4 linked regions of the Rhinolophus ferrumequinum genome follow. The protein of the gene in region 1 purifies or fractionates together with the protein of each later gene. This does not show direct contact. Links are inferred from orthologs where the notes say so. Each region holds a gene or a part of one and is shown in the gene's direction. Other genes may lie near its edges.

The links.
Region 2: the proteins of CHD4 (region 1) and SIRT6 purify together in Homo sapiens (affinity purification with mass spectrometry; 3 studies listed by BioGRID, with this or other methods). This does not show direct contact. The link is inferred for Rhinolophus ferrumequinum from reciprocal best matches to the Homo sapiens genes CHD4 and SIRT6.
Region 3: the proteins of CHD4 (region 1) and TOP2A purify together in Homo sapiens (affinity purification with mass spectrometry; 3 studies listed by BioGRID and IntAct, with this or other methods). This does not show direct contact. The link is inferred for Rhinolophus ferrumequinum from reciprocal best matches to the Homo sapiens genes CHD4 and TOP2A.
Region 4: the proteins of CHD4 (region 1) and NUMA1 purify together in Homo sapiens (affinity purification with mass spectrometry; 3 studies listed by BioGRID and IntAct, with this or other methods). This does not show direct contact. The link is inferred for Rhinolophus ferrumequinum from reciprocal best matches to the Homo sapiens genes CHD4 and NUMA1.

The regions. Positions count from the first base shown.
Region 1 is NC_046293.1:23,841,662-23,849,280, reverse strand, and holds the start of CHD4 (chromodomain-helicase-DNA-binding protein 4), read left to right. Parts: upstream 1-4,614; 5' UTR 4,615-4,768; intron 4,769-5,651; 5' UTR 5,652-5,734; coding exon 5,735-5,834; intron 5,835-6,109; exon of another isoform or gene 6,110-6,241; intron 6,242-7,408; exon of another isoform or gene 7,409-7,538; intron 7,539-7,619. UniProt on the Homo sapiens protein: ATP-dependent chromatin-remodeling factor that binds and distorts nucleosomal DNA. Acts as a component of the histone deacetylase NuRD complex which participates in the remodeling of chromatin.
Region 2 is NC_046301.1:59,431,079-59,438,488, forward strand, and holds the start of SIRT6 (NAD-dependent protein deacylase sirtuin-6), read left to right. Parts: upstream 1-4,376; 5' UTR 4,377-4,428; coding exon 4,429-4,494; intron 4,495-5,425; exon of another isoform or gene 5,426-5,431; coding exon of another isoform or gene 5,432-5,446; intron 5,447-6,183; coding exon 6,184-6,311; intron 6,312-7,410. Other genes in the region: ANKRD24 (ankyrin repeat domain-containing protein 24), read right to left, coding at 1,183-1,218. UniProt on the Homo sapiens protein: NAD-dependent protein deacetylase, deacylase and mono-ADP-ribosyltransferase that plays an essential role in DNA damage repair, telomere maintenance, metabolic homeostasis, inflammation, tumorigenesis and aging.
Region 3 is NC_046304.1:36,816,649-36,824,503, reverse strand, and holds the start of TOP2A (DNA topoisomerase 2-alpha), read left to right. Parts: upstream 1-4,818; 5' UTR 4,819-4,938; coding exon 4,939-4,959; intron 4,960-5,824; coding exon 5,825-5,980; intron 5,981-6,196; coding exon 6,197-6,287; intron 6,288-6,565; coding exon 6,566-6,629; intron 6,630-7,855. UniProt on the Homo sapiens protein: Key decatenating enzyme that alters DNA topology by binding to two double-stranded DNA molecules, generating a double-stranded break in one of the strands, passing the intact strand through the broken strand, and religating the broken strand.
Region 4 is NC_046294.1:47,675,441-47,683,065, reverse strand, and holds the start of NUMA1 (nuclear mitotic apparatus protein 1), read left to right. Parts: upstream 1-4,576; 5' UTR 4,577-4,663; intron 4,664-4,690; exon of another isoform or gene 4,691-4,807; intron 4,808-7,625. UniProt on the Homo sapiens protein: Microtubule (MT)-binding protein that plays a role in the formation and maintenance of the spindle poles and the alignement and the segregation of chromosomes during mitotic cell division.

The DNA.
Region 1 (7,619 bases):
ATGGGATGGCCGCCTCTCTTTTTTGGGGGGGGTAGGGGATAGCAAGGAGGATTATTATGGGATGTGCCCTGAACAGCTGGGTGGGGCTGTCCTGGGTAGGTGAAGCTCTGGGGAAGGAGTGGGGGAGAAGGACAGGAAGGAAGAAGGAGGGAAGGAGCTGGAGAGGGTGGGTGAGCCCTGGAGCCAGACCTGAGGCCTGGCAAGAGTAACTGGCTGGAGAGGTTCTTCGGAGATAGCTGTTTGAAGCGGCCCCTAGGGCTGACTAGAGCTAGCCATCTCTGAACCCTGGACACCTGGGTCCTTGTAGCTCATACCTTAGCTTGGAGCTGCAGACTTGCTGAGTCCAGGACTTGCAGTGCTGGGCTGGCAGTGAAAACGCCTGTGTGGCACACCAAAGGGAGCAGTGCCCCTGGGTGAGCACAGTACCCAAATACCTCCCTCCCTCTTTACCTTCCTGGATTTGACCCTTGGGACCATATCAGGTATGGGGGTTGGGCCAGGGGAGCTTTGCCGCCTTGCATTCACAATCACGGAATAGAGACTAAGTTGGCTCCTGAAGGACAAACGCCTGGCCCATCACCCCCCAAACCCTGCACTACCTGCATCCTGTCTAGCCATCAGAGTGCACTGTCACTGTGGCTTTTCTTTTTTATGTTGTCTTCCCCAAACCCCTTATTCTAACAGATCAGGATAACACTGGTCATTTAGACCTCTTACAGAGTTTCTAGGGCTCACACAGAACAGAGATGTAGAGAGAGGAATTACAGAACATGTGCTGAAAACTCCAAGGACAACCACTCTGAGTGTTATTCTAGGTTCTTATGTACCATGGGCTAGAAACAAAATTCTAAGGTAACCGGCTAGAGAGGCTGTCCCCCCTGGGTGCATTAATCAGGAGATTATCCCACCCTTAGTCTCTGTGGACCAATCATGCTAGTGGTTTATTTATAATTTATCTGGGAGGATAGCATGGGGCCAGGGTAGGGAGGGGGAGCATGGATACATAAAGACCACAAAAGCAACACACAAACACACACATCCTAGCCCTCTCTGGAACTCAAGAAGAGAGGAAGGGACTTTAGCCTTCTCCTTGTGGTGTTAGGGAGAGGTGGAGAGTAAGAGAGGCAAGGGGGTAAGTGGGTAGAACCTGCAGGGATGAGGCAGAGGGCTGTGGTGCACAACAGGTATCAGTGTTTGCCATTATAGGCAAGAGGCTGTGACTACCCAGTTGTAAAACTCTTCCTGGTTTGTATTACGAATCACTGTAGTAATGTGGTAATATATATGAGAAGAAAAGGAGCCGATAGAGATATTACAGAAGGGAATATGAGGCCCAGAGGCAGGCTGCATCCCCTAGAGAAATGGGGAGGGAGGAGGACAGAATTGGTGTCTGATGGCTCTATATAGGGGAATCTTCTTGAAAGGAGGTATGCCCACATTATGGTATCTTAAAAGAGCTGCCTCCTCTCCTCCAGGTGAAGAACACAAGGCTCATTGTTGGTATGCAGAATAATCATGGAGGAGGGTTTGCATAAATAAATGGGGCCCAATCTTGAAGTCAAGAGAAGTTAATGAGGAAGACCGCAGCTTTGCAAAGTAGGAGCTACAGCCTGCACACCACAATGGATGTGGCAAAAGCGTGGACCAGGGAGTTAAGCTGGGCAGGAGCTGGTGGGAAGACTCATCAGCATCACTGGTGGTCTGCTTGGAAGCAAAGGGATACTGATTTCCTGAAGCAAGCTTTGCCTCTCCTGAACTCATTCTTCCTTGCCAGTTCTCCAGTTCTGTGGCTCCTAGAGGAGGGGAGAATCATCTGGTCAGGCTCTTTCTCTAGAGAAGTGAGATCAGAAGGGCAATGCAGAGATGGTATGAGGTTCGTCCCACTCACTTCTGGTCAGGAAGGGCCCCTCCTAGGAGGAAGTTCCGGTTTCTCTTCAACCTGTCCCACTGCCATAGGTCTTGGACTTGTGTGAAAAAGGCACATGAGAGCGGAGGAAGACATTACCTCTGGCTTGGGGGCCAAGGGGCAGCAAGGCAGTGGTGCTGGGACATTAGTTTTCACTCATGGAAAGGGAAAAGTGACAGACCTGTGGGCTCAGGTTCTCTGAGGGCCAAAGAGTTTTAAGACGGCACTCTCCAGCTTTCTCAGGCTCAGTCCCCGTGTGCCTGCAGGGTAGGCACAGTTAGGGAAGGGAATGGATATGTTGGGACGCTACCTTGTGGCATAATTGAATGACGAAGGCATCCTAGAATGTTGACTTGTACACGGGGAGGGGAAGATGGTAAATATTATACAACAAAGGTTTTTTTGGAGGGGAGTGGGGAATAGGGCCTCCATGCGATGAGGATGGGAGCAGTTGAAAGTATTATGAGACTTCAGGACACAAAATGAGAAACTGGCTGAAACATATGGGACATTGAGGGTAAGCAGAATTTGGTGTTCAAGAATGAGGATAATAATTCTGGCATGCTGATAAATCTCTCAAGAAGGAAGCACATGATGATACAGAATTTCAGTATTAGAAATGCTGGATGCATGAACATTGCTTTCCAATCAAAATCCTTTAGTATGTAGGGAACAGATAGATTATCTTGACTATCCATCTGTTTTGGAATACCTTCTAGCCTCTGGAAAGACCACCAAGAACGTCTACTGGAGTGCGATCTCTCCTGGGATTTGTTTCATTCTCTGTAACAGGAAATTGGGAACTAACACTTAGTTCTTCTCACTTGACACCAGACATTCTATCTGGCCTCATAGTTTGATTTATACTTCTTGGAAGGAGGAACTTATGGCCCTTGCATTCCCCATGGTGCCCAGCTCTGTGCCTTGCTAGGTATTCTGTCAACATCTATTGAATGAATGTGAGTAGCAGTGAGTAGAGGGAGAGCAGGTATTGTCTGTTTGTATGTATATAGCAGGATCCTCATCCCATCATGATGGGATGGATGTTCATCCATCAGAGTGCAATAGGGGTGTTGATGAATGGAGCACCTAACTCAGGAGATGGGGTGGGTGGGGAGAGGGCTGCTGGAATTTTGAGAAATAGTCTTTAGATGGGAGTTTGTAATTATTATGGGATGCTTGGGGTGAATTAAACTTTCACTTGGGGTGAATTAAATTCGCTTGGGGTGAATGTAAACATGTAAATGGCTCATCCGGCCAGCATGGTATTTGGTTGGTCTTACTCAAAACTTAAGAGCTGGAGGTAAGTGTCCGGAGAAACCTGAAGTTTGGTGGACTTTAGTAGGGACCTAGGTTGACTGGCAGTTCCTGAGTATCTGGAAAGGTAGGGTCTCTCATAGACATCAAGAGGCTTTATGCTAGGATACTGCTTTGGTCCAGAAAGGGATAAAGGTGTGTACAAGTTGAGGCAGGGACAGGGCAGTGTACGTAGCTTGTTTTCACCCTGGCTGCTCTAAGTGTTAGAATACATTGACAGCATCTGGAGATGGGGGAGGTATGAATAGTATGGGATGCCTGGCTGGAAAGGTATAGAGGTGGTGGAGTGGAGATGAAGCATTATGGGATGTGGTAGTGGGTTGTGCTGGGAATATTATGGTATGTTTGGTTGACTATGGACTCCTTGAAGTTATTATGGGATGTCAGGTTATGGGTGGGGAGTAAAAATTATGGAATACCTTTCCAGTATTAGAGAAAAGGAGATTAGATGTCTGTAGGGTGACAAAACTGCAGATCATTATGGGATATCTCTTTGATGGGGAAGAGTGCTTACCGTGTTTTCCTGAAAATAAGACTGGGTCTTATATTAATTTTTGCTCCAAAAGACGTATCAGGGCTTATGTTCAGGGGATGTCATCCTGAAAAATCATGGTAGGGCTTATCTTCTGGTTAGGTCTTATTTTTGGGGAAACACGGTATTATGGGCTGTGGAAATATATTGAGTGTGTGAAGGCTGAGGGTGGTGGTGAGAGGATCTAGACCCTAGCCTGCAGGGGTTGAGGGCAGCTCCAGGGGGTTGATTATTATGGGATGTCAGTATAGAAAGTGGGAGACTGATTATTACGGGATGTGTGTGGGAGGAGGCCCAAGTGTCCGTTGTTGCAGTGTGTGTGTGGTGGTGGGGGGGGTGAGTTTCTGACTATTATGGGATATCAAACTGGGGGTGGATGCAGAGTGGTTATTATGGGATGTCTGTGGGGGATGGGGATGAGTATTATGGGATGTGAGGCTGAAGTGCTGGGTGGGGTGCTTATTATGGGATGGCCACGGGGAGGGAGAGGTGACGAATTATTATGGGATGTTAGCATTAGGGCCAAGAGTGAAGAAGTTGGCAAAGGATGGCTATTATGGGATGTGGGGGGGGAAGGGTTAGTTGCAGAAGGTCTGCAATATTATAAGATGTCAACAGCTCTGGCATATATGTGTGTATGAGTGTGTGTGTTGGGGGGGGTGTCCATGTGTATTATGGGATGGCCAGGAGGTGGGTGGTTGCCCGGGTGACGCGCGCGCGCGCTCGAAGGGGGCGTGGCCAATGGTTGCCAGAGCGACGAGGGGGCGGGGGTTGCCCGGGAGACCTAGGGAGGAGGGTGGCGGTAGTGGAGGGGGGTTGGAGTTGGTTGAGGTTATTATGGGCTGTCCGTGGGGGGCGGGGCCTGTGCGGTGGGATTTCCCGGCCGGTGTTTCGGGCCCTTTAAGAGGCGACGCCGGAGCCGGAGCCATTTTCCCCCCTTCGGCCGCGGCGAGGAGGAGCCGAAGCGGGAGTGACACCGGGCCGGACCCTGCGCGACCTGCGGCAGCTCCGGGGTGAGGAGAGCGCGGGGTTCCCAAAGAGACGCCCCTCTCAGCCCGGCCAGCCCCGAGGGTCATCCTTCCACCCGCCCCTTTCTCAGGCGTCCTCCGACCCGCGGACGGCCCCCTGCCCGGAGGAGCCGACCCTTCCTCTCTCTTCCCTGCTGGGTGTCTAGCCCCCTTCCTCCCACCCCAACCCAGTCAGTCTGGCTCCCCGCGACTCCCACCTCGGGCTTGGTCTCCCACAATGCCCGGCGCCCGCCCCCACACCCTCTGCTCACTTGCCCCCCGGGACACGTGGCCCGACCCCCTACCGGGTGGGAGCCCTGTGACCCGTAAGTTCCTGCCTGCAGCCCCCCGGAGCGCCCGAACCTCCACGCCCCCTCGTCCCTGCGGCTCCTTGGGAGAACCTGAGTTGTCCCAGAGGACAGCCTTTGGAGAGCTGCCCTGTCTGGGCACTGGCCCCTCCCCAGGCGCAGGGAGGTGCCCCCCCACCCCCAAGTGACCTTGTGTCCCCGAGCGCCTCGCCGCCGGCCGCCTCCCGTGGCCCCCCCCCGCGCTGCGGCCACTCGGACCCTCCTCCCCCCAGTCACACCCCGTTCGGTCCAGCTGGGCTTCCCCCCCTCGCTCCCCACGGCTGCACCAGCCTGCCCTCGGGGGCGTCGCTGCCTCTCATCTGGGGGGCTCCAGTGGGGTAACCAGCTTCCGGGCTGTCCCCGAGGAGTGTGGAACTAAGTTCAGCCTGAGTGGTTCGGGTGCCCCACTAGGGTGGCTGTGGTGGGGGGGGCCGGTGGTGGTGGTGGTGGTGGTGGTGGTGGGCGGAAAGAGCGGGTGGGGGTGGGGGAGGGGGACTGCGCGTCACTGACTGTTCTCTCTTTCCCCCCCCTCCCCCGCACAGTGACTCGGGCCAGTGTAGAGGGCCCCAGGCCGCAGGCAGGAGCAGCTGGGCCAATTCCCTGGCCGTGAGCGGAGCGGAAGGGGATGGCGTCGGGCCTGGGCTCCCCGTCCCCCTGCTCTGCTGGCAGCGAGGAGGAGGATATGGATGCACTTTTGAACAACAGCCTGCCCCCACCCCACCCAGGTAACATCTTCCCCTAAGGCTCAGTGCAGGAAGGAGGCTTTTGGGCCCTCACGAGTGACTCTAGTGAGGCAGGGCTGAGTTTCTGTCTCTCTCTGCAGAGTCTGAAGTGGAGGGCATCCGAAGGGAGTGGTTCCCCTCTGCAGAGCTCTTGTGGGAGGGGGTGGAAGCCATGTGCCTTCTGGGCTCCGAGGACCCAAATGCAAGCTTTCTGCACTGTCTTAAGGAATGCTATGCAGTTCCCAGTTGAGGGAGCTCTTTGGGCTGGCAGGCCTTACCTCGTGTGGGTCCTTGGAGGAATGCAGGTAGCTGGGACCCCTGGAGGCTGTGGTGGTGGAAGGTAGGGGCTTGAAGATTGCTGTTTTAAACAGACCAGCTCCACATCTGTGCTGGTTAGGATTCTGGGGTTGCTGCTGTGGAAAGGAAAGAGGGAGTGGTGGTTACTCTCTATCTGATTATTTTTAGCTTCTGATCCGTTACCGGTTTTCTGCGCTGTTTCAACTGTGTGAAGTTTGAATTGCGCTCCTTAGCTGGGATCTGGAGAGCTTTTAGCCAGGCAGGTGGCTGGAATGTTTTGAGCGGCGAAATGATGGGGCTTAGGGGTAGGATGTAATAACCTGGACGAAATGCTAGGAGGGGTAAAAGAAGGGAGGTGACACCCTGGGCACCCTCCTCCCTTGGCAAGTGGACATAATCCCCGCTTTTTTTTCCTAGAGGCTTCTCTTCTGCTGTGCAGGTAGCCTGGGGTTTGGGCTGGTGGTGTAAAGTGTTTGTGTAGGTGGTGTTGGGGGTTGTGCTGTCTGTTTTGGGGTGGCTCCTTGAACTGGCCAAACCCGTATGGTTATAACCACTCCGTCTGATTGGAGTAGCCCTTGTTTACCCCCAAATGATAATTGAGGTCATGCTTCTAAGTAGATGTCTCTTTCATCTATCTGTCCTTCAGAGACCCCGGCTAAGTCACCTACTTGTTTCCTTGACCTTTTTTTCCTAGCTTCATTTTGTCTACGGGCCATCTCTTTATCCCCTCTATATTTTTCTTTTCATTCTGGAGACTGCTGGTCCTGTTTTTGTTTCCCATGGAACATCTTTTACTTTTGCCTTTTCTCTCAGCTCTAGTGGCAAGTTGAGGTGGTCTGGGAGAGAAATGTTTCCCCATTTGGCATTTTCTAAGTTGGAAGTCTTTATGTCAACCTTGAGGCCACTTAGGAGAGGGTTCAGTCTTTTTACTGAGTCTTCAGCTGTTGGGATAAGAAACTTAGGTTTGAGTTTCCTCAGTGTACAGGGCAGGGTAGCCGGTTTGTGTAATGTTGCCCAGGGTGGTTGTGGGGTGGTGGTGAGCCTGTCCTTGCTGAGGGGCATGCGAAGTAGTAGTGCCACCGAGCCAATGCTGGTTGCCCGTCTTCGCTTCCCACTGGCCCCTTGGTCTGGGGCTGCCCCTGTGTGGATTAGGAGCTGTATGGGCTCCACAGGTGAACTCTGTCCCAAGCTGTAGTATGACCCAGTTTTTCCACTTGCCACACCCCATTCTTACCCCTTTCCCAAATCCTCTATCGTATTTTAGCCAGTTTGCCGCTTACCTGAGAAGTTTGGGGGGTCTTCAGTGGATGGGAGGGTGTCTCCTCTGCCTCCCTGGGTTTGTCCTTGTGTCCACGTCCAGCGTTTGTGGAGGTGGTGAAGAGGAAGAACCCAGAGTTGTAGCTGACTGGGGCGGGGGGGGGAGGGCAACATGGGATTGTTGGGGCAAAGCCCTTAAAGAAAATGATTCTTTCTGGTGAGATCCAGGCTGGT
Region 2 (7,410 bases), on another chromosome or scaffold:
GTGGAGAGACTAAGAGCTCTGAAGTCAGGCACGTGTAGGTTTGCATCTCACTGTTGCCACTTTGCTTTGTGACCGGGAATGGTGTGTGAACCTCTCTGGACCTCGGTTTCTTTGTGCCGTGAGTGTGAAATTAAGCCTGACCACGCCCAGTACAGAGGGCCACCCTGACTCTAGATGCAAATCCTCACTTAGGTCTCTTAATCTGTGCCCTGAACCAGCCCCCACACAGGCAGGGACTGGGGGTGGGCAGGAAGGAGTAGGGGTGCCTGAGGAAGAAGCATTTCCCTCCAGAGGTTCACACTCCAAGATATAGCTGCAAGGGAAGCCAGCTCGATCCCACCTCAGGGCCTTCGCACTGGCTGTTCCCTACCCCTGGAATTCAACTCCTTCAAATAAGCACACGAAGCCCTCTCTCTTTCCCTTACGATCTTTGCTCTAAGATCAGCTTCCTGGCGAGGACTTTGCTGACAAGCCGCTTTGAAATCGCAATGCTCTCCCCTGCCCTGGACACTCCAATTTCCTTTCTTTGCTTTCTTTGCTCCATGACACAAAATATGCCTTTCTCTCATCGATCTTGTTTAGCGTCCACCTCCCCCACCAGGCTTTCAGCTCTAGAGGGCAAAGATTTCTGTCTGCCCTATTCATTGATGTCTGTTCTGTGCCTAGAACAGTGCCTGATACAAATGTGTGCTGAATAAATAGACAAAAGCAAGAGATCAGAGTCCCCCAAAAAGTGAGTCCTCAGAAATGCAAGTGGTCACTGTAGTTGGGGAGAGCAGAGATCTTCTGGAAGAAGCGTTATTGGAGCCAACTTGGTAGGGACGGGGAGGGTATGACAGGCAGCAATATGGGGAGAGGGCATTCCAGGTAGAGGGAGCAGCCTGGGAAAAGGTATGGTGGCCAGAAAGCTTGAACAGGAAGCAGTGGGGACATCGGGGCAGCAGGGGGCAGTAGAGAGAAAGGGAAGGAGAGGTGGCCAGAGGCTAAAGGGGTAAACTTGAACCTTTGAGTGGTGAGGAACCATGGAAGAGTGTTGAGCAGAGAGGGTCATGTGGAAGCTGCTAAAAGAATCTGATGGGTGGGGGAAAACAGCCCACAAGGCCTGTGGATCTTCATTCAGGCCCTGGAGGACAGGAACCTGAGGTTGCGGGACATCAGGCATCTCAGTGGCCTCACACTCACCTCTGTCTTCTTAAATCGTGCCCGGAGAGTCTTCATGGCCAGTGTCTGGTGTTTCTCTGCAACCCAGGCCACCTGGGAAAGGGCAGGGGGTGAGGGACATCAGTGCTGGTGAGCCAGAGGGTCGGCTACCTCCCCCTCCTCAAAAGAACCACTTCCCCCTCACTGGGCCATCCCAGCACCTACAGCAGGACAGAGACCTACCTGCTGCATCTCCTAATTGCTGTGTGCCCTTCAGCAGGTCACTTGCCCTCTCTAAGTTTCACATCCCTCATCCTTAAAATGAGGAAGGTAATCCCCTCTTGACCATCTCGTGGTCAGTTTTCCATGAGGTCCCTACCACAGGCCCAGCTAACAGGTCCTCAATAATTCACTTCACTAGTATTCCCTGTGGCCCAAGCAGATCAAGCATTTTCTCGTCTCCAAGCTTTCATCTGTGCAGTTATTTCTACCTAGAAATTTCTACCTGCCTTTCTTTTTTCCTTCTCTGGTGAACTCCTATTCATCCTACACAGCCTAGTTCCAAAACCCCGTGCTCTGATCAACTTTGCCTCTCACCAGCAGGCAGAGCTCTAACCCCCCAAATTGGGTTCCCCCAGCCCTGGCTGGGTCCCTTTTCCTGCCCCAGCCATGGCTCCACAAGCTCAAGGTGTCTGAGCTGGTTCAATCTTTCTGAATACTTAGGGGCTCCTTGGGGCCAAGCCCAGAGCGGAGGCTCTTAGCACAGAGGTATGTTTCTTGGATCGTCAGAGAGAACGTCCTTGCAGCTACATCCCTTACACCAGCCTGACTTCTGTGTGAGTGAGAGACTAGACACAAGTCACCCAAGGCAGGCGGAGGTCTGGGGTGATAAATGTGTGCATGCACGTGCACACACACAAGCATGAGGTGTGTGTGTGCATGCACATCTATGCACCTTGGCCTGTTCTGTGTTCCATGCACATGTGGGTATGGAGATCAGGCAGGGATGTCTTGAAGGGATGTGTTGCTAGGTGTGTGGGTAGGGATTCTTTCCTGTGTCTGAACAGGATTTCACCTGTCCACCTGCCCGTGACTTCTCCAAGCCATCCTTCCTTCTTTCTACCTACCGATCTACTCATTTGTACATCCACCTCCCTATCCAAGCACTTGTATACCCACCCACCAACTCACCTGCCCAACTCATTTTTCTCATGGTCCTTCATGCACCCTTCAACTATGCTTCAGTCACCACCCACCATCCACCCACCATCCACCTATCCATCCATCCATCCGCCCCCTAACCACCCACCATCCACCTATCCATCCATCCATCCACCCCCCTAACCACCCACCTATCTACCTGCCCATCAATCCATCCACCTACACATCCACCTATGTGCTCACCCACATATCTAACACCCACCCACTCATCTATTCCCTCATCCATCCTCATCCACCCTCCACTGACTTATCGACTTACCATCCATCCACCTTCCCGTCCGTCCACCTATCCATCCATCCATCCACTCTATCACCCAGTCATCCATCTACTGCCCATCCATTCATTCACCCTTTAATTCACTCCATTCACTCAATGTACTGCTTTGCTCACCACCTTTCCCACCTGTCTTTGCCCCTGTCTAAAGGACTCAATCACACCCAGAGCAGAGTGTAATAAGACACCCAAGAGAGGAGTCCACAGGTTGCCTGGGCAGGAGGGAATCTGTGAGCTTGGGGGAGGGGGAAGTGCCCTCAGCTAGGGAGCTGCTTCCTGGAAGAGGTGATGCTATAGAAGCAGGGCCTGAAGGCCGGCAGGATACTGAGCAGCAGCAGGAAAACAGGGTCCATACCCTAGACAAGGCCAAGGCTGGGAAGCGGGAGGTGCGTGCACGAACCACTGTGTGTGTGTGTCAGGGCGCCTAAGAGGCTCCTCAGCGTGGCTGGGACACACACGGGCTTCTCCTTGCTCCCACATATCAGGGCTCAGGGACAAGGAGCCTCAGACCCTAAGGGGAGCCCCCGGCCCAGGCTTCCCTCCCTTCCTTCCTCTCCTACCTCCTGCAGCTCCAGTGACTCCAGCACCAGGCCACCGTGTTCACTGCTGGCTCCGGTTACCTGCTCCCAGCTGGGCCACCAGCTCGTACCAGCAGCTCTGTGCGCTCAGCTCCGACACCCGATCACCTCTGAGCGGGCAGCTGCCCCAGGGGGCCGGGGATGAGCCGAGGGAGGAGACAGGTTGGCAGCGGGGCTGCCTGTTGGCCAACCGGCTCTGGCGGGAAGACACCGATGTTCTTCCCTATCGTCACCGGACTGATTTCAGTTTCTGGAATGAGCCACCGTCTTTCTCTCCTCTCAGCCTTTACACTTGCTGTTCCCTCTGCCAGGAACACTTTTTCTGTACCCCATGTCACCCCCAACTTGCTCATTCTCCCCATCTCACTGCTACTCACTCTTCAGATCTTTGCTACACCCTCTCCTCCAGAAATCCTTTCCGAATTGCCCCCGGCTGGGTCAGGTGCCTCCTTTGAGCTCCCGCATTTCCCCGGCGCCCTCACTGCTCCCCAATCACACTAAGTCACGACAGCCCAGTCACTGGGTTGTGTCCCTAATTAGCCACAAGGTGCCACCTTTGTTTTCCAGTGCCTCCTCAGCACACAGTAGGTATTCAACACGTGTTTCCTAAATGAGTCCTGAAGGCCACCAGCCCCAATGACCTTGCGCAGTTTCTCTAGTCTCTTGGTGGTCTGGACCTGTCCTACTGAGTGGAGATTACCATCCACCTGAAAAATATTCAAATAACTTAGAGTGTTGGCCAAGACCTCCCCTAATGAGGCCCCACGTTGCTCCGTGCCACAGGTATCCTGAACTTTATAACTTATCTTGTAACTTTACAAATGTCTGAAAGGTGCAACGGAAAGAACCTAGGACTGGGTCCCTTCTCTCTGATTCTACCCTCATGCAGGAGTGGAAGTGGAGCATCACTTTACTAATTTGTAAAAAGGGAAAATGGATTGTGTTCCTCCTTTTAGAGGCGACTGCAGAACTCTCACGCGCACAGCTGCCCCAGCTTCTCGGCCGGGTCACAGCCCCCTCCGTCTCACGCGAACTCGCAGAAGTAAGGCGGCTTCTTTAACCAGCAATTAAGATGGCGCCTGCGGCGTCAACGTGAGGCGCATGCGCCTTGGTGGGAGCGAGCCGGCGACTCCTAGTTCCTCCCCGTGCAGCCCTATTTCCGGCGGAAGTGGCCTCAACAAGGGAAACTTTATTGTTCCCGTTGGAGCGGTGAGAATGTCGGTGAATTACGCAGCGGGGTTGTCGCCGTACGCGGACAAGGGCAAGTGCGGCCTCCCCGAGGTGAGCGCGGCGGGAGGACCGGAAAGCCTCCCCCTCTAGGGTGGTGGACCGGGCGGGGCCGGGCGGCAGCGGGGCATTGTGGGAATATCAGGAGGCACTGAGGCTAGACAATGGGAGGGACTTCCCAGTGAGGAGGGGGCGGGAAGTGACGCCCCCAGCATACTCGGGGACGCGAAGACGCCCAGCTCCGGGTCCACGAGGCTTGCACAGAGGGAAGGACCGTCGTGAGGAAGTCCTGAAGTTCCGATAGGGGAGGAGGGGATGTAGTTCTAGGCGGAGGGGGCCCTGCAGGGGCAAAGGCAGGGAGATAGGTGGGAATAAACACACTTGGGGGAACAGATTAGGCCAGAGAGGTTTCCAGAGTCCCGGTCAGGACCGGCCCCAAATGCCAGCCTGGGAGATTGACACTTTATCCTGAGGGTGATGGAAACAGGTTTTGAGCTGGGAAGGAACCTGGATGGATGTAAATATGTGTCAGAAAGACCCCTCCAGCTACTCCGAGAGGAAGTCCCCTCCATACACTGAGACTTGGGGCTTGTCACTTCCCTTCTGCGCCTCCTCTCCCCTTCTGTAAGCTGGGGGAAGGTTGCCCCCATCCCTTGAAAGCTAGTCCGTTCGTCCTGAGTCGGGAAGTTGAGGAGTTCTCAGATGGTGTGAAACCTCCTGAAAAGGCACTCCTCTCTTGCCTGTATTCACATTATTCCACAAACATTTACTGAGCACCTGCTGTACCACCAGGCACTTTCTAGATCCTGGGACCACAGCAGGAAACAAAATAGGCAAAAACCCCTCATTCCAGTGGGGAGACAGACAGCAGCAAATAAATATAAGTGAGATGGGAGCTACGGAGAAAAGTAAAGCTGGCAGTGGTGAGGAGAATTGGGGGCTGCATTGAAACCAGGTGGCCAGGGACACATCACTGAGATGGCATTTTTCAATGTTTTCTATTGTGGTAAAATACATCTTTCATAAAATTTAACTTCGTAACCATTTTTAAGTGTACATTCAGTGGTATCAAGTATATTAATAAGGGTGTGCAACCATCCCCACCATCCAGAACTTTCTCATCTTCCCAAACTGAAACTCTGTCCCATTTAAACTTTAATTCTCTCTTCGCCAGCCCCTGGCACCCACCATTCTACTTTCCGCCTTTATGGATCTGACTACTCTAGGGACCTCATATAAGTGGAATCACACAATATTTGTCCTTTTGTGTCTGGCTTATTTCACTCAGCACAATGTTCTAAGGTTCATCCACATTGTAGCAGGTGTCAGAATTTCCTTCCTTCTAAAGTGAATAATTTCCCAACGTATGGATGGACCACGTTGTGTTTATCCATCCATTGATTGATTTGGGTTGCTTCCATGTTTTAGCCATTGTAAATAGTGCTGCTCTGAACCTGGGTGTACAAATGAGGTGACTTTTGAGCCACGACCTAAAGGAGGTGAGCGGAGGGAGTCTGAGGAAAGAGTGTTTTAGGCAGCAGGCTGCAGGGAGGATTTGGGCTTTTACCCGGAGAAAGGTAGGAGCCCTGGAGGGCTGTGGGCAGAGGAGGGACATGACAATAAGCCTCCTTTTCAGATCCACTCTCCTCCCGTGGGCAAGGTGGGGGCAGCTCTTCTGTGGCCAGTGGCCTTGCCACTAAGGGACACGTTTTGACCGCTCCCCTCTGCTCTCTCACACCACAGATCTTTGACCCCCCCGAGGAGCTGGAGCGGAAGGTGTGGGAGCTGGCAAAGCTGGTGTGGCAGTCCTCCAACGTGGTGGTCCACACGGGTGCCGGCATCAGCACTGCCGCGGGCATCCCCGACTTCAGGTCTGTGGGTGTGGAGGGAAAGTTGAAGCAGGACCTGTTAACTTCCAAGGGCTTCCCTGTGAGCCACAGTTGCCCGGGCCTCAGAACACATCCTGCTGCCTTCCCCTCAGTGAATCTTGAATAGTCTTTCCTCCCCTGGGTGTTGGGGATAGGAAAGACCCCTCCCTTTTAGACTTGTTCCTTTAAGTCTCAGCCAACATCCCACTCACTCCATTGGCCAAAACTTGGTCACCTGATCATACCTAGCTACAAGGGATGCTGGCAAATGTAGTTTTCATCTAGGCACACTGTGAATGTCTAAATATTGGGGTACTATTACTCTAGAAGATGGGGAGAATCAATATCAGGGGCAATTAGCCCCATACTCACTTGAAAATATTTTTCTATCAGACCTGGTGGCTTAATCCTCTGAACGTGTTTCCTCGCCCATAAATGAGGGTATGAAACCAGTTAATGTCTAAACCCCTCTCTGCTTCAGGCAACCTGTGTAACAAGAGTCTTACAGCTGAAAAGCAGGGGTTTCAAACAGTTGGCCCCTGGGTGGCCCCTGCAGGTGCTGAGTTTGCAACCCTGCCGCAAAGGACAGACCTGTTGCATTTATACTCTCTTTCCAAGGCCTCTTGGGCCCCCAGCCCAGGCTCCCACAGAAAGAGAGCAGATTCTTTAGAGGAATGTTAGAATTCTAAGGCTTGATTCTCCCACCCCTCCTCCATAACCTGCCAGGGCTCCCCATTGCCACACAGGAGAGTTCCAAGCCTTACCTGACCCAGCCCTGGGTCATCTCTCCAACCTCAGCCCCTCTTGCCCCTGCTGCAGCCCCCGTACCACTTGCATTTCCCCAACTGACAGGCTATTGCTAGCCTCCCAGACTTTTGCTTACCGCTCGTGCCTGAACTTCTGTGCCCTTCCCTCTCACAGTTCAAGAGACAGCTCAGCCTCCCAGGAAGCTTTCCCACAGACCCTACACGGAGCCCTCACTGCCTCCACTGGGCCATCCCAGCCCACAGGGCGGAAGGGTCTGTGTCCCCCTGTCTCCCCTGGCAAGAGAAGCACTCCTGGAGGGAGGGCCTGGGTCCACTAGGGCCCAGCAACCCCCGGC
Region 3 (7,855 bases), on another chromosome or scaffold:
ACAGGATTTCTGTATTACTGTCCTGCGGCAGAATTCTTTCTTTTCTGGGAAACCTCAGGTTATTTGCTCTTAAGTCCTTCAACTGATTGGACGAGGCCCACCAGCCTCATAGAGGGTAATCCTTTTACTTACAGTCAACTGAGAGTAGATGCTAATTACATCTACAAAATACCTTCACAGCAACACGTAGACTAGTGTTTGACCAAACAACTGCACACCATAGCATAGCAAGTTGAGCCAGAACATTACCCACTGCAAAGGTCATTTCCAAGCAAAGGCTATTCCAGACAGGGACGACATTACATTTTCTCGCCTGATTGTGCTTTTTGAAAAATCACTCCTGTCAGATGGGTAATAGACTTATTGGGGTTATCACTCTGTGAAGTATATAAAAATATAATCACTATGTTGTTTTGTATACCTGAAACTAATAAAAAAAGAAGAAAAAAATCAGTCTTTCTTACCTATCAAAGACCAATCTTATCCTGGTTTTTTTTCCCAACCTCAGATAGAATACTTCCTTACACTTGCCCTAAATGTTTATTTGCCAGGTCAAAACTTCTTTCTTAGACATTCAGAGTGCTTCAAGACAACTTGATTTCAAAAGCCCAGGCAGGCTTTCTCCTCTAGCAGGTTCTAGCTCATCTCGTGAGAACAGGACGAACTACCTGCTCCAAATGACAGTCTTCTCTGTTCTCTGTAAATTCCCACTTTTCTGCTCATGTAGCTTCTTTTCTTTCATGATCAACAGGGAGGAAAGAGAAACATGTAGGCAGCACTTAGCTGCAGGCCTTTCAGGAATACCATCTTTGTCTTTAATTACAAACAGAAGGGCATAGCTTTTTATTTCCTTTTGGTGAATAACTTGCTCCTAACTCCACTCCACCACTTACCAATCTTCCTGGTCTCTGACATCAACTGTGAGGGGGCCCTGGAAGTACCAGCAGGGGGGACAACTATCAGATTAGTATCAGACAGAAGACACCCCCGAGATGTCCTTTTTTATTCCTCTTCCTACGTGGAGAATTCTAACCCAGAGTTCTTCAGTGATGACCTTCTCTGTTCCAGAGTGCCGTAAAACGTACCAGGAATGAGTATTCAGGTAGCCTGCCCATCAAGACACACAATCCAGTCCAGCTCTGCCTCCCCTTCTCGTGTGAGAAGCCAAGAGAGCAGAGGCCCAGCCCTGGCCTCTGTTGTCAGAGAGGAAGTCCTCCCTATCCCACTCCCTTGACCACTTCCACTCTGTGGGTTATAGAGGAAGGATGTGAGGAGCTGGAGAATCTGGGGGTGAGGGAGAAGGGAGGGGTTCATGGCTGTGTTTGTCCAGGTTTTGCTGACCAAGCCTCCAGGAGGCAAAGATGCCAAGTCCAAATGCCAGTTCCACCTGCTGCCATTAGTAGCCACAGGTGCTAGAGATAGGTAACCAGGAGGTCTTGGGACCCTGGCAGAGATTTAAGGTTACATCAGCCATGCTACTAGGCCAGGAGGCAAGGGGTAGGGGTGTCACATAGGGAGTGGAAAGAATCAGAGACCATGCTTCACCTCCCTGACACCATGCCCCAGCCCCAGTGGGCTTGAGCTCGTTCCTATGCAGCTCTGGGCTGGGCACTGGCAGGGAAGGGGAAGCCAAGATAACGGCATACCCTGATTTCAACCAACTCAATTCACAGGGGTTTTTCTAAATATAAGTAATGGATTGCCATTTTTACACAGAACAGAATTCTTACACGTAAAAAGATGAAAGTGGAGCTGCTCTGGGTTGGAGAATCTGGGCCCATCCCACCCCCTCTCTAGACTCTGTGGAAGGCGTTTTGCAACCCACTCCTCTAGCTGGGCTACCTAGACTTCAGTGTACAGGTGGGGAAACTGAGACCTAGAGACAGGAGGAGATTTACCCAAGGTCATGAGACTAGTGACAGCAGAACTGGGCGAGGACTTCCCACCACAATACTCTGTCCCTCAATTTGGCGCAAAGGTTGAGATTTCCTACTGAGTCCTCACCACTGGGTTTACTTAAACTGCGAGTTCCCCCAGTATGTTGAGACTCTATCTCTATCTACAAAATTCACATTCTCACACAAACTTGTATAGACAGATAGGCCTTCAGTGAGGTGAGGAAAAGGGTCGGGGGTGAAAAGGGTATAGGGAGTATATGAAAACAAACACTTAGAAAGTCACATGTTGGCAAAGGGTCATGAACACCGAGAATTATCAGGGCCCACAATTACAGAAGAAAATCTTTTAAATTTTGTTTAAGCTAACTTTTTACATTATAAAAATAAGACATGTCTACAATTTTTAAATGATCAAATAGGATAGAAAGGAAAATATGAAAAGTGTTCCTCCCCCTCCAGTTATTTACGATTCCTTCCAGATGTTTTCAACGCACACATAAACATTTACCTAAATGGGATTATGTTCTAATTCTTTCCTTCACTTTTTAAAAACTTAATATGTCTTAGTGATATTTCCATATCAGTACACCTAGATCAACTTCCATTAGATAGCTGCCAGTTCTTTTCTAATAAAAACAATATTGCAATAAATAATCTTGTACATGTATCTTTGCACAATTGCAGACACCTGGAATTCCCTCTTTATGGACAATACATCCCAGGCCCACCTGTCCTGGACTTTTCAGTGGACCCCCACAAGTCTTGCAGGGCCCCTGTGAGAGGCTCTAGGAAGGAGGCAGGCTGACAGAAATAGCTTATGTCCAGAAGAGAAGTGGGGGTTCTTTCATGATCAAGAGAAGAAATTTCTGTGCTAGAGGGCTGGAGAAGGATTGTCCGAGGTGCTTCCATATGTCATTTAGCCCTTTGTACTTTTGATAAAGGATAATGATATGGGGAAACTGAGGCTCAGAGCGATTTCTGACTCATGCATGTGTGACTCCAAAGTCCTTTAGACTCCACAGTTCTGCTTCCAGGTTTTTGGAACAGGATCAGGCTAAACTGCAGGGCAGATTTAAAGGTGGGTCCCAGAAAATAGGGCTAGAGCTGCTTATTAAATTCCTGGGTACTGCAGGCTAGGATGAGCAACAGGGTGGAGGCAAGAGGGACAGAGGCTGGACTGCTATCCTAGGGGAAGCATGGCCACCCACCCCTACCACTTTGGAGCTCTGTGTTCCAGGAGGTAGAAGGCAGCATGGCTGGTCTCTGTCAGGGTCCTCCTCTGTCCTGGGGAAGCTGTAGGCAGTGACATGAGAAGACCTGTTCAACCTCTGGGTGGGCAGAAGCTACAGGATGGGCTTCCCCACAACTGCTCTGAGACCCTGGTGGTCCTGTGCATGGACGTTGCCTTTCTGATCAACACATATAGTGAGCAGAGTGAAGCTGAGAACACTTGGGAACTACGGGAGGCCAGGAGACCAGAGGAAGGGACCAGCGCCATGCCGAAGCAGCCTTCCTTCGGCTTTCCCAATCACTCTAGCCCAGTGGGCTACTTCCATCCCGGACTTCACGTCCTACCACACCCCCTCCGCATTGGCCCTCCCTGGAGAGCTCTGCCAACAGGCTGGGCATCAAATATGCCTGGGTGATTTAACAATTGGTTGGCCCTCTGGTTCTTTTAGAAGAAAAAAAATTAAATCCACAAATTGTCATGCCAGCCTAAGGAAAATTCCTGCTTCCTGATTCAGATACTGTTAGCCTACTATCCTAAACATGTATCTCGCGTAATCTTCACACAACGCTGAGGTAATACTATTATTTTTATTTCCCTTTTTCAGCAGAAGAAATGAAAGCGACTGAGAAGCTGCCTCCCTCAAGATGACACAACTGTCAAATTGTCCAGCCAGGACTGAAACTCAGGGAAGGAGCTGGGTCAGATGGAATCAGTAGCCATGCAAATTGTGCACTCCTTAATTTTTCTAGCATCTTGTAAGGGCAACAACATTGTTTTGGTCATTTTAACATTGTGAATTGATGAGGAAAAAAGAAAGCCACTCAAGAAAAACTTCAATCTGGCATTTCCTCATCAAACCTGAACAGCTGTTTTGGACTGCAGAATTCAGGGAACTTAACAGGGAGCAAAAGTCACGAGGGTATCCTACTGGCAGTCTGAACCCCAAAAAAACTCAGTACTAGAATGGGCCCCTAAGCCATCCTCAGCTCCTGAGGCGGTAACTATAAATTACCCCAGTGGCAGCCTAAAGCCCCTCTCCTGGGGGACTCGAAGGCTATTTCGCGCGGCCTCTCTACATTTTTCTATTATATGAAAACGAAAACCCACAACTGTAGCACTTTCGTTTCTTTGAAAATAAATTCTTGGAGGGGAGGGGAGAGGAGATTGAGGCAGACGTCAGAACCTGTGTTCGCTTAATCAAATCGCCGCCAGGCTTCCTGTACACAAAGCCAGCCAGCACTGTTTCTTCAGGAAAATGGAGCTAGGACTCTCGTTCTTCTCGCTAAAAAACCTTGGGACACAGGATCGTTTTTAGCTTTCAGGGATCTGAAATAAATTAGCAGTTCCTGGGGAATGAAACCTTTTCTTTCCTCTTTTTATGCCAGTCTGCACCTCAGAAATCCCCCTCCTACCTCCACCGCGCGGTCCACCGAGTTTTCTGCACTGCGAAGACAAACGAGCCCTCCTCATTGGCCAGATTCCCTGTCGATCCCTCCGCTACGACCCAAAGTGGTGTCGTTTGAAAACCCTCTAGTCCCGTCTCCCTTGCCTAATTGGTTCATTCGAACAGGCGTTCCTTGGAGAACATAAAAGACCAGCTACGATTGGTTCTTCAGGACGGAACCGGTGAGAGCGAATCAGGGATTGGTTTACCTCGTTTCGGCGGGCTAGAGGGAAGTTCAAATTGGACTGGAGTTGCTCTCCCAACCGACCAGCGTCTGTGGAGAAGCGGCTTGTCCTGTGATAATCTCGTGGGTCCCGCCGGTTTAGTCTCTTGCAGGGTTCTCGAGCCTTTTCACGACCGTCACCATGGAGGTGTCACCACTGCAGGTACAACTCGCGAAATGGGCGAGTCGTGGAGCCTTAGCGCGGCCCGATATCTCTGGTTGCTAGTGAGGGAGTGAAGCTCCTGGGCTTCGCGGTCGTCCGGCCGCGGCGGCCTGGGAGCCTGTATTCCGTGTGGACCCGGGTCTCCTGGGTTCGGCGTGATCGTGACGAGGGTGAAACTCTTTATGGTGGTAATATTGAAGTGTTATGGACTAAATTGGCTTCTAGGGTGTTGTGTTTTGTTTTACTGTTTCTAGGGACAGGAAGCAACTGGTCCTATCGTAGATCTGTACTATAATGGTCCACTTGTGACTAAACAACGCCTCCTGATGCTTTCCTCTGCTATCCTCCTGCTGAATATGGAATTGAATGTCCTTGACCTTGGAAGGTGCAGAGCAAGGCACAGTGTTCCCAATGAGCCGGCAGGCCCTAGTTGCTCAAAATACGTCCTTCTGTGTTCACAACGTTAACGTGGCCAAGGGATTGAATCGATAGCCTCCCAAACTGCTGCTGCTGAACTAGAATCTACTATGTGCCTGGGACACAGTAGGCACATAGTAGATGGAGTAGATGAATAAGTGGGTGTATTTTATTGATGACATCTAAAGCCCTTAAGGAAAATATTTCCATACCAGATACATTTAGTGAGATGAGATGTATGTCCATTTAAAATGTAACCTGGGTACCTGGCTGCAGTTAACTTAAATTGCCACGTTTGTACAAAACGATGTAAACTCCACCAATACTCATTAAAGATGGCGATTTGTTATAGTGTTTAAGCATATCATAAAGGTAGACGTTTTGTTTATAGTTTCTGATAAACCTATGATTAAAGTTCCCTTTGCTTCAAATGTTTTTAAATTGCTAGCCTGTAAACGAAAATATGCAAATGAACAAAACAAAGAAAAATGAAGATGCTAAGAAAAGACTATCTATTGAAAGAATCTATCAAAAGAAAACGCAATTGGAACATATTCTGCTCCGTCCGGACACCTATATTGGCTCTGTGGAATTAGTGACCCAGGTAAAACAAGCTAATTAAATGCAGTTACTAAGTAGTTAAAATGTGTGTTTTTCCAGGTTAATTTTCTATACTTCATGTACTTTGAGTGTCACTGGCACTGGCCTAGTCTATTTTATATGAATATATATATTCCAGAAAACTTATTCCAGTAATCATGATGATAAAACAGAATAAATATAGGGTAAAAATAACTGCATCTCTTTGCCTTATTTCTAGCAAATGTGGGTTTATGATGAAGATATTGGCATGAATTTCAGGGAAGTCACTTTTGTTCCTGGTTTGTACAAAATCTTTGATGAAATTCTAGGTAAGTAAATTCTTTCACATAAAGATCTTCTGGTCAAATCCTTCATAAGAAGTATATAATTCCTAGCAAACCCTATGTAGCCAGAGCTGTCATTTCAAACAATAGTTGGCAAAGGTGAGACAGTGAAGTTGAATTCTTAACTAGAAACAGTACTGTGAATAAAAATTGCTGAATTAACACCTCATTAATGCTACTGCGTTTGAGATTTTTGCTTTCTAAGAGTTAAAGATTTTTTTTATAAATACTTCAATTTCTTACAAATGTGTATTTTCTTTCAGTCAATGCTGCAGACAATAAACAAAGGGATCCAAAAATGTCTTGTATTAGAGTCACAATTGACCCGTAAGTCTCTTGCTTAGTCTTTTGTTTGTTATAGTTCATTGTTCTGTTAGTTGCATTTACTTAGATTTATAGTGAAGTTGGCTTTCTTAAAATGAAAGTTTGCAAAAACACAGAAAGGCAGAATGCTAAAATGAACAATCTATGATACCTACCACCTAGATCCAGCAGTTATCAACACTTTGCCATATTTGCTTCAGCTATATTTTTTCTGAAGCATTTGAAAATAAATTACAGACATTATGGCACTTCATCCCTAAATAGTTCAGTAAGCATCTCCAACAATTGCTCAAAGTATTCTGCAATCTAGAGCTTTTTTTCATATGATGCTATTCAAATAGTAAACCAGAAGGTGGTGATAGAGATCTAACATTTCTGGTTATAAATGATCCCTTTGTGGGTGGTCAGGATGCTTGTTTCACCTTTTTATTAGCCTAATCAAAGTCCAAATAAATTTTTAGTATTTTATTGGCAAGCAAAGAAGTTTACAAATGATGTTTTTCCCTTTCACATTTGTTTTGCAATGAGCTTTGTTGGGTGGAAAAGGCTAAGAGAGCTAGGACAGTACAGAAGATCCTCTCAAAAGCAGTGTAATACTGTTTCCAAATTATGTTCTTTTCTTTCCATTGAGCATAAATCATTTCCCTTTGTTTATTTTAACATTTTAAAATTTCATGTTTTTTTCAACATTATCAGTGTCTGCCCAGGTGTTGGAAAAGGTTTCATTTTTTTTTTTCCTCTTGGCTCCTATTTTAGGAGTGTCAGGAACTAAGCATGGTGGGAAAGGTAGTTCATGCTGAATTTCAGAGGGTATATATGAAAAAGAATCATAAAGAAATTGAGACTTTGCTGGGTAGAGAAATCTTGGTTGTAGGCCCTTGCTTTTCATCACTTTGAATATTTCATGCCAATCCCTACTGGCCTGCAAAGTTTCTGTTGAGAAATCAACTTCGTCTATGGGAGCCCCCTTGTAGGTAACTAACTGCTTTTCCCTTGCTGGTTTGAAAATTCTCTTTGTCTTTAACCTTTGGCATCTTAATATGATGTGTCTTAGTGTTGGCCTCTGGGTTCATCTTGTTTGGGACGCTGTGCTTTCTAGGCTCGTAAGTCTTTCCTTCACCAGGTTAGGGAAGTTTTCCATCATTTTTTCAAACAGGTTTTCAATTCCTTGCTCTCCCTTCTGCAACAACATGGATGAACTAGAGGGTATTATGCGAAGTGAAATAAGT
Region 4 (7,625 bases), on another chromosome or scaffold:
TGAGTGCCGGCTGCCCTGTGCCTGACCAGAAGGGATGAAGCCAACATACAAATAATAGAACCCTGTCTGTCATGAGCACAGAAAGGTCTGCTGGGTTTCTATTGGTTGTGGCAAACCGGCCTGTATCCAGTTCTATGAAACAGTTGCTTACTTAGTGAAGACTCATATCATGTTATAATACTCAGCTCTAGTATTCCCTCTTCGATGAAGAATTTTTTTCCAGATAAAATCGATCAATGTGTCCTGTGTTAGATTGATTCTCTTAATCCCTATTCATGGTCTCCCATTTCCATCCCTTTTGCCCTATAACGTTTAGTTCCATTCACTCTGATGCTGGGCTCGGCCATGTGACTTGCTTTGGCTAATGGGATGTTGGTAAACATGAAGCAAATCGAAGCTTAAAAGAGGGCTTGCACTCTTGCACTTTGCCAGTGCCAAGAGAACATGGCTAGCCTGCTGGAGGGATATGAGGAACACGTGCAGGTGAGAGATAAGTGAAAGAGAGCCAGTGATCCCAGCTGAGACCACCCAGACTAGCCTAATAGCCAACCTACCCCAAGTCAAGGTCAGGAGAGTCACCCGGCCCACAGGTGGCTGCAGACACGAGAGGGCCCAGCCAAGGCCAGAAGAAACTGAGGCAGAGACTTGAAAGCAATAATGCTTATTGCTTTAAGCCACTATACTTTTGTATGTTTTTTTATACAGCAGTAACTAAACAGACAGATGCCCCCACTGTACTTTAAACAAAATTTTATCACAGCCTGTTTCTTCATCTGTAAAATGAGAAAAACCCCATCTTGAGAGCTGTTGTATATCCTGCAGCAGGTGCTCAATAAATTGAAGCAACTGTACACTCAACTCATTTCTTTGTAACCTACTTCCCATTCCCTTCCTGTAGGCTTAAAGACAGGGATAGAAGTCAGACTTCTTTCTCACTTCCCACCATTACCCTGTAGTGAGCCTGGCAAAGAGTGGGTATTCACTAACGGCTTGATGGATAAATGGAAAAATGAAAGAAGAAAAGGAATAAATGAATGACGTCTTCAAGGTGTCAGACAGTGAGCCTGACTGCTGGGGAGAACTGCCAAAGCCCTAGTCTGCCTTGCTTATTCCGGTGCCTGTGTTTTTGGATTCAGTCTTTCCCAGCTGCTGTTCTGCCTCATGACCAGGAGCAAGTCAGATCCTGGGCCGCCTTCCTCATCTGTTCAGACTGATGGACTTGAATGACAGGGTTAGGGGCATACCTGCCTTGTTATGGAATTTTTCTTTTCCAAATTAGAAATATCTTTTACTTTTTTTCTTTTTTAATTTTAAAGTTAACATGATAGCTGAATAAAGTCAACAACATACAGAAGTACATCAAATGGAAACTAAAAGCCTGACTCTCTAAAAATGATTAAGTTTGGGAATATACTCTCCTAGAAGACATATGTAACAAAATTATATATATTTTAAAATAAACACATACTGTCTATTCCTTTGTAAACTTATTTTTTCCTTTTCAAATTGTACACTCTTACCCTTTTTAACAGCTGTATTCCATAGAATTTGTGTGTACCATACTTTATTTAACCAATCCCAAGTTGATGGAAATTTGTTTTCAGCTTTTGGAAATTACTAACAACTGGAATTTCATTTGTTAGTAGCCTATTCCTTTCCTCTTCCAGGTAAGTAGCAACATGAAGCTTTTAGGAAACAATCAGATGAGATCAGATAGGAGGTTTAACAGCCTGGCTTAGAGAGGGTTTCTGTTTATGAGTTACAGGTGGAAGTAAAAATCAATGTCATGAAAAGTCTGCCAAATTACCGAATGTGTTCTGAAAGGTTATGTTTCCAGGTGCCAAAGGGAGGCCCAGATTCAACCTGGCTCCTGCCCACCTCTCTGCTCCCGTCTCCTATCCTCTGCTCCAATTCGGCAGCCCAGCCAAATGCAGGTACAGGAAGTTCCCTCCGCTGCCTCTGGGTCTCTGCACATCCAGCTTTCTCTGCTCCGAATAGTTTCTTCCTCCTTTCACCTTGCTAATTCTTCATGACTCAGCTCAGGTTTCACCTTTTCTGAGGCGTTTACCCTTATGCCCAAATCTTAGATGTGGAACTTCTCTTTTGGGCTCCCCAAATACCCTATATGTACTGCTACGGTAGCACCCATGACACTAGGGTGCTCTGCTTACTATCTGTATGTCCATAAACTGCACCAGGGCAGGAACCATGTTTTTTTTTTTCATAGTTCTATCCCTACCACGGTGGCAAGTAGTAACTGCTTAACAAATACATAAAAAATTGCGAGTGAATAATACTACAAAGGAGAGGAACATGAGGTTACCATAACTGAGGGATCTGACCTGGTCTGAGCAGTCAGAGAAGACATTTTTAAAGAAGTGATTGAGAGAAGAGATTGAGGAGAAATACAAATCAACTATAGAAGGGGGGAAAGATGAACACTCCAGACAGAAATAACAGCATGTACAAAGGCTCTATGGGTGAGAAGTTACTTTAAAGAAGGTCATATAACTGGAGGGAAGAAAGGGAGGGATATGTATGGTTAGACTGGAGGCTGTAGAGGTGGATGGGAGCCAGGCTGCGATGTTGATTGATGCTAAGAGCAATAAGAAGGTCAATTCTGAAATGGGGGTGGGCGGGGGGAAGTGAACAGTATCAAATTTACATTTGATATGGATTACTCTGGTTGCAATATGCAAAATGGCGGGGGGGGTCGGCTGGTTAGCTCAGTTGGTTAAAGCGCAGTGCTCTTAACAAGGTTGCTGGTTCGATTCCCACAGGGGCCACTGTGAGCTGCGCCCTCCACAACTAGATTGAGACAGCTACTTGACTTGGAGCTGATGGGTCCTGGAAAAACACACTTAAATAAAAGTTTTTAAAAAAATGGCTGGGAGGGAAGGCAGGAAAGATGTGATGATAGGACTATAGAAGTAAAGCTGATAGGACTTTATAATGGATGGGAAATATAAGAGGAATTAAGGATAACACTTGGGTTTTTTACTTCTTTAATGGTGGATACAGGTGAGAACACTGGAAGAGACTCAGGTTTGGAGTACATGGATTATGAGTTCAGTTGCAGATATGTAGAGTTCGAGTTGTCTTTGAAATATCCTGAAGGAGCCTAAGGGGACTTTAACAGCTCAGGAACCAATCAGTAAGTGGACCAATCAGGGCTAACTAGAAGCCAGCCAGAAACCAGCGAATCATGGCAGTATCAGATGTAGGTGCTGTGTAGCCAGACTTTCCTATTTAGTTAAATGTTTTCCATTGTCTTCAGTCTCTAGTTTTCTTTCCCATTTAAACTTTTAAGGAAGGATGTGAAACTCATTCAGGTTGATGTGTACATAATCCAATGTGGGCCACACAGGTTTCTTTTCTCTGGGCAATTCTGACTCGTTGGAACAAGTCTTAGGCTAGAGAGGCTGTAGACTCAAGTTACAGACTTGGCTGGAAGTTAGCACACTAGGGTCTAGTCCCGGCTGTCACTGATTTGGTGTGTGGCCTTGGGCAAGTCACTGCACCACTCTGGGTTTCAGTTTTACAATCTGTGAAATGGGGATAAATATCCTTGACTCGTGAAGCTCAAAAGAGACACTGGATGTAAAAGCGCTACATTGCTAAATGTAACAGATCTGTCATGAAGACTAAAAGGAATGAAGCTCTAACCATGGAGGTTAGAGAATCCCATCATGGAGGGTGTAGGGAAAAGCGGTAATTTGGGGACAGGATCCCTAGTAAGTGTGGAAAGATCCCTTTGAGACTGAGAAGCAGGCTCTACCCTGGAGTCTTCTTGCTTGAAAGGAAAGGGGCAGTGCAAGCCCCATAAATTTTCATACGTCTCCAGTATTAGGGCCTGTGTCTTTTTCTGATATTACTCCCATGTCTTGAAGAGCGTCTCAGTTCATCAGGAAAACTAACCCTATATCAGGGCGTTTCAAATATCCCACGCTGTGTCAGAGATTTGAGGCATTCGTATTAGGGGGCCCCATGTTTGTGATGGGGCAGGTTCTTAAGCACTCCCGAATCTGTACGGGTATGTCAGCGCCCTTCTCTCTCCTCCGCGCCCTTCTATTCCGTATGGGTGTAGAGTCTTGTCCACTGTGAAAGGAGGTAAGGGTTTTGGGGGGGAAGGGGTCTCTGGTCCCCGAGAAAAGAAATGACCCTCCCCTCTCCATAGAGCTTCTGTTCCCTGGAACGGGTTCCCTATTTTCCCGCTGGACTCACCCGCAGTTGCTGCCCTTCCAGCCTTGGCGTCCCACTCACTACCTCAGGGTTACCCAGCGCAACTCCATGGTAACTACCTTCGCTAGTACATCTCGGCCAGGCGCCGTAGGCGCTGCCGCGATGCCTACCGGGAGCTGTAGTTCGTCAGGGGCGGGGTTCTAAGGCCGCGGATGTGCTGAGATTTGTAGTCTTTGCTCTCAAGTCGAGGCGGGGGTCCGGAAGTAGTGACACCCCTTCTCCTTTCCCAGTGGCCCTCACACTTCCTTTTCCCGGGTCCTTAAGCGTGCCCTTGCGTGCATACCAGCCGACAGGAGCCTATCAGAGGGCGGTGCGAGGGGGCGGGGCCATAGTTTAAACTAATTGTGCGCTCCGCGCTGGCGCGAGCCCGCGTCAAACGCGATCGGAGGAAACGGGAGGCGGAGCGGGAGCGCGCGGCCAGGTAACCGGCGCGGGCCCGCGGTTGGCGTTCGGCCTGGGCGCCCACAGGAATGCACAGGCCTAGAGGGGGTGCTGGAGAGGCAGGTGCCAGCGATAGGCCTCCTGCGTAACGGAGTCTGACTGGGGAGACTCTATTGGGAGTAAGGTTTGTGAGGGGAGGGGTCTGTCGGAAGGGGAGGGGCTGGGCGTGCTTGGGGGGAGGGGAAGAGTGCTTGGGGGCGTGTCTGTGGAATTATGTCTGAGAGTGACGGTGGGGGGTGGGCGTGGGTAGGGCAGATTCCTGAAAGACTCGTCACGAGGGGTCCTTTAATGGGAAGTCTTCGCCTATTACTAACAATAGTAGTGGTAATAGTAGTGGTAAACATTTTCTGAGCACCAGCTACGTGCCAGACACTGTGCCACATGCTTTGTATGGATCGTCTTGTTAATATTGCTAACAACCTTATTATACTTTACTGCAGATGGGTCATCTGAGGTTTAACTTGGCCAGGATTACATAGCTAGTGCATGGTCGACTACTGGGGATTTTGAGGGTTGGGCCTAAATGAGGACCGGAGGGAGGAAGGGCTTTGTCTGTGGGTGCAGATTGTCTTGGAGGAATCAATTTATTTTGTCTCACTTTTCATATATGTAAACAACGAACCTACCTGCCTTACCTACTTCTTGGGGTTGTTTTGAGGGTCAAATCACGTAAGGTGTTCTGTGGAAGCATCTTGGGGAGTATAAATTTATGACTATAAAGTTACTGTGAAGGTTGTTGGTGGGAAAGAGCCCTCTCGGTGCCCTCTTTTGCTTCCTGATGTAGCGCTTTTCATCTAGTAACCTAAGAGTGTCTGTCTGCATGTTTGCCCTTCTAGAAACAGTGCCCTTTGTCCCTGTATTGTGATGCCTATGGCATGGCCATTAATGCATGCTTTGAAATGAATGAGCTTTCTTGGGCTGAAAGGGGATAGGAGCCTGGCTTTCCCATTTTCATTTAGTGGCCTTTGAACCTTTATTAATACAGTCCTCTTGCCTGGAATGGCACTGCCTCTTGAAAATGTGATATATACTTGCTTTAATCCATGCTTCGCTCTCTGAGGTCTGTTGCCTGATCTTGTATTTCCAAAGTTCTAGATTGTCAAGTGTGTTACTCTGTGGTAGGCAGAAACTTTTGATAGTAAGGGAATTGGGGCCCTCTACCTTGGGGAGATCTGTATGGGAACTTGGAGGGAATGTTCAGATCATTTAAGGTAGCTTTCAGTCAGCAGGGATGAGTGGATGTGTTCCCTCCGTCTGTTCCTGTGTGGTATTTTCTCCTGTAGAGGAAGAGGCACATACAAGTACTTCTCTGTAAAAGGACTCTTGACTCAAATTCAAGCAAATGATGACTAATTGTAATGCCAGAATTTTTATCTAAAGCCAAAAACTCTACCCCACCCCCAAACTAGAAGATCTTACCCAAAAGTTCACATAATAAACATTTCTATTTAGAATATTCTTTTTTAGGGGATCAAATATATGGTGATGGAAGGAGAACTGACTCTGGGTGGTGAACACAAAATGTGATCTATAGACGATGTAATACAGAACTGTACACCTGAAATCTATGTAACTTTACTAACAATTGTCACCCCAATAAACTTTCATTAAAAAAAAAGAATATTCTTTTTTGTTTATGGAATATGGGAGTGGGAAGAATGCCTAGAAGACTCAGCTTCTAGAACTCTTAAGATGGGGGCAATGCCCTGCTTCAGATGGCTAAACAGAGCTGATCAAGGAATGTTTGACAGCTGTGTCTAATTGATAACACCTTACGGTCAATAGATATGTTTGGAATCATTTATTTCAGCCTCTTACCCAGTGTACACTAATATATGAAAAGATGTTGTCCAGGGGTGGCCGGTTAGCTCAGTTGGTTAGAACCCAGTGCTCTTAACGGCCGGGATTGAACGGCCCAGTTCAATCCCCATATGGGCCACTGTGAGCTGCGCCCTCCATAACTAGATGAAACAACTACTTGACTTGGAGCTGATAGATCGTGGAAAAACACACTTAAAATAAATAAAAGCTTTTTTTTTTTTTTTTTAAAGATTTTATTGGGGAAGAGGGACAGGACTTTATTGGGGAACAGGGTGTACTTCCAGGACTTTTTTTCCAAGTCAAGTTGTTGTCCTTTCAGTCTTAGTTGTGGAGGGCGCAGCTCAGCTCCAGGTCCAGTTGCCGTTGCTAGTTGCAGGAGGCGCAGCCCACCATCCCTTGTGGGAGTCGAACCGGCAACCTTGTAGTTGAAAGGACGCGCTTCCACCAACTGAGCCATCCGGGAGCTCACCGGCAGCTCAGCTCAAGGTGCTGTGTGCAATCTTAGTTGCAGGGGGCGCTGCCCACCATCCCTTGGGACTCAAGGAATTGAGCTGGCAACCTTGTGGTTGAGAGCCTACTGGCCCATGTGGGAATCGAACCGGCAGCCTTCAGAGTTTAGGAGCATGGAGCTCTAACCGCCTGAGCCACCGGGCGGCCCCAAATAAAAGTTTTAAAAAAAGGTGTTGTCCATATTCGAAATGAACACTTACAAGAATGAGACCACTCAGGCAGTCCATATCAACGTTGAGCAATACTAATTAATAATTATTGTTATGTGCTGTTGGTGACAATTTTATTTTACCCATGTATATTTTCTTTTAAATTTTTATTGGGGAATATTGGGGAACAGTGTGTTTTTCCAGGACCCATCAGCTCCAAGTCAAGTCGTCGTTTACAATGTAGTTGTGGAGAGCACAGCCCACTGGCCCATGTGGGGATCCAACCGGTGACCCTGGTGCTGTGAGCACTGCGCTCTAACCAACTGAGCCAACCGGCTGCCCCAACCCATGTATGTTTATTCTTTGTTTTTTCACCATTCTTTCTTGCATGTCATTCCATCCTTTTGTGTCAAGCAGACAAATGTATCCTTCAAGTGTTTTTGTTTTTTAGTGACGATCTGT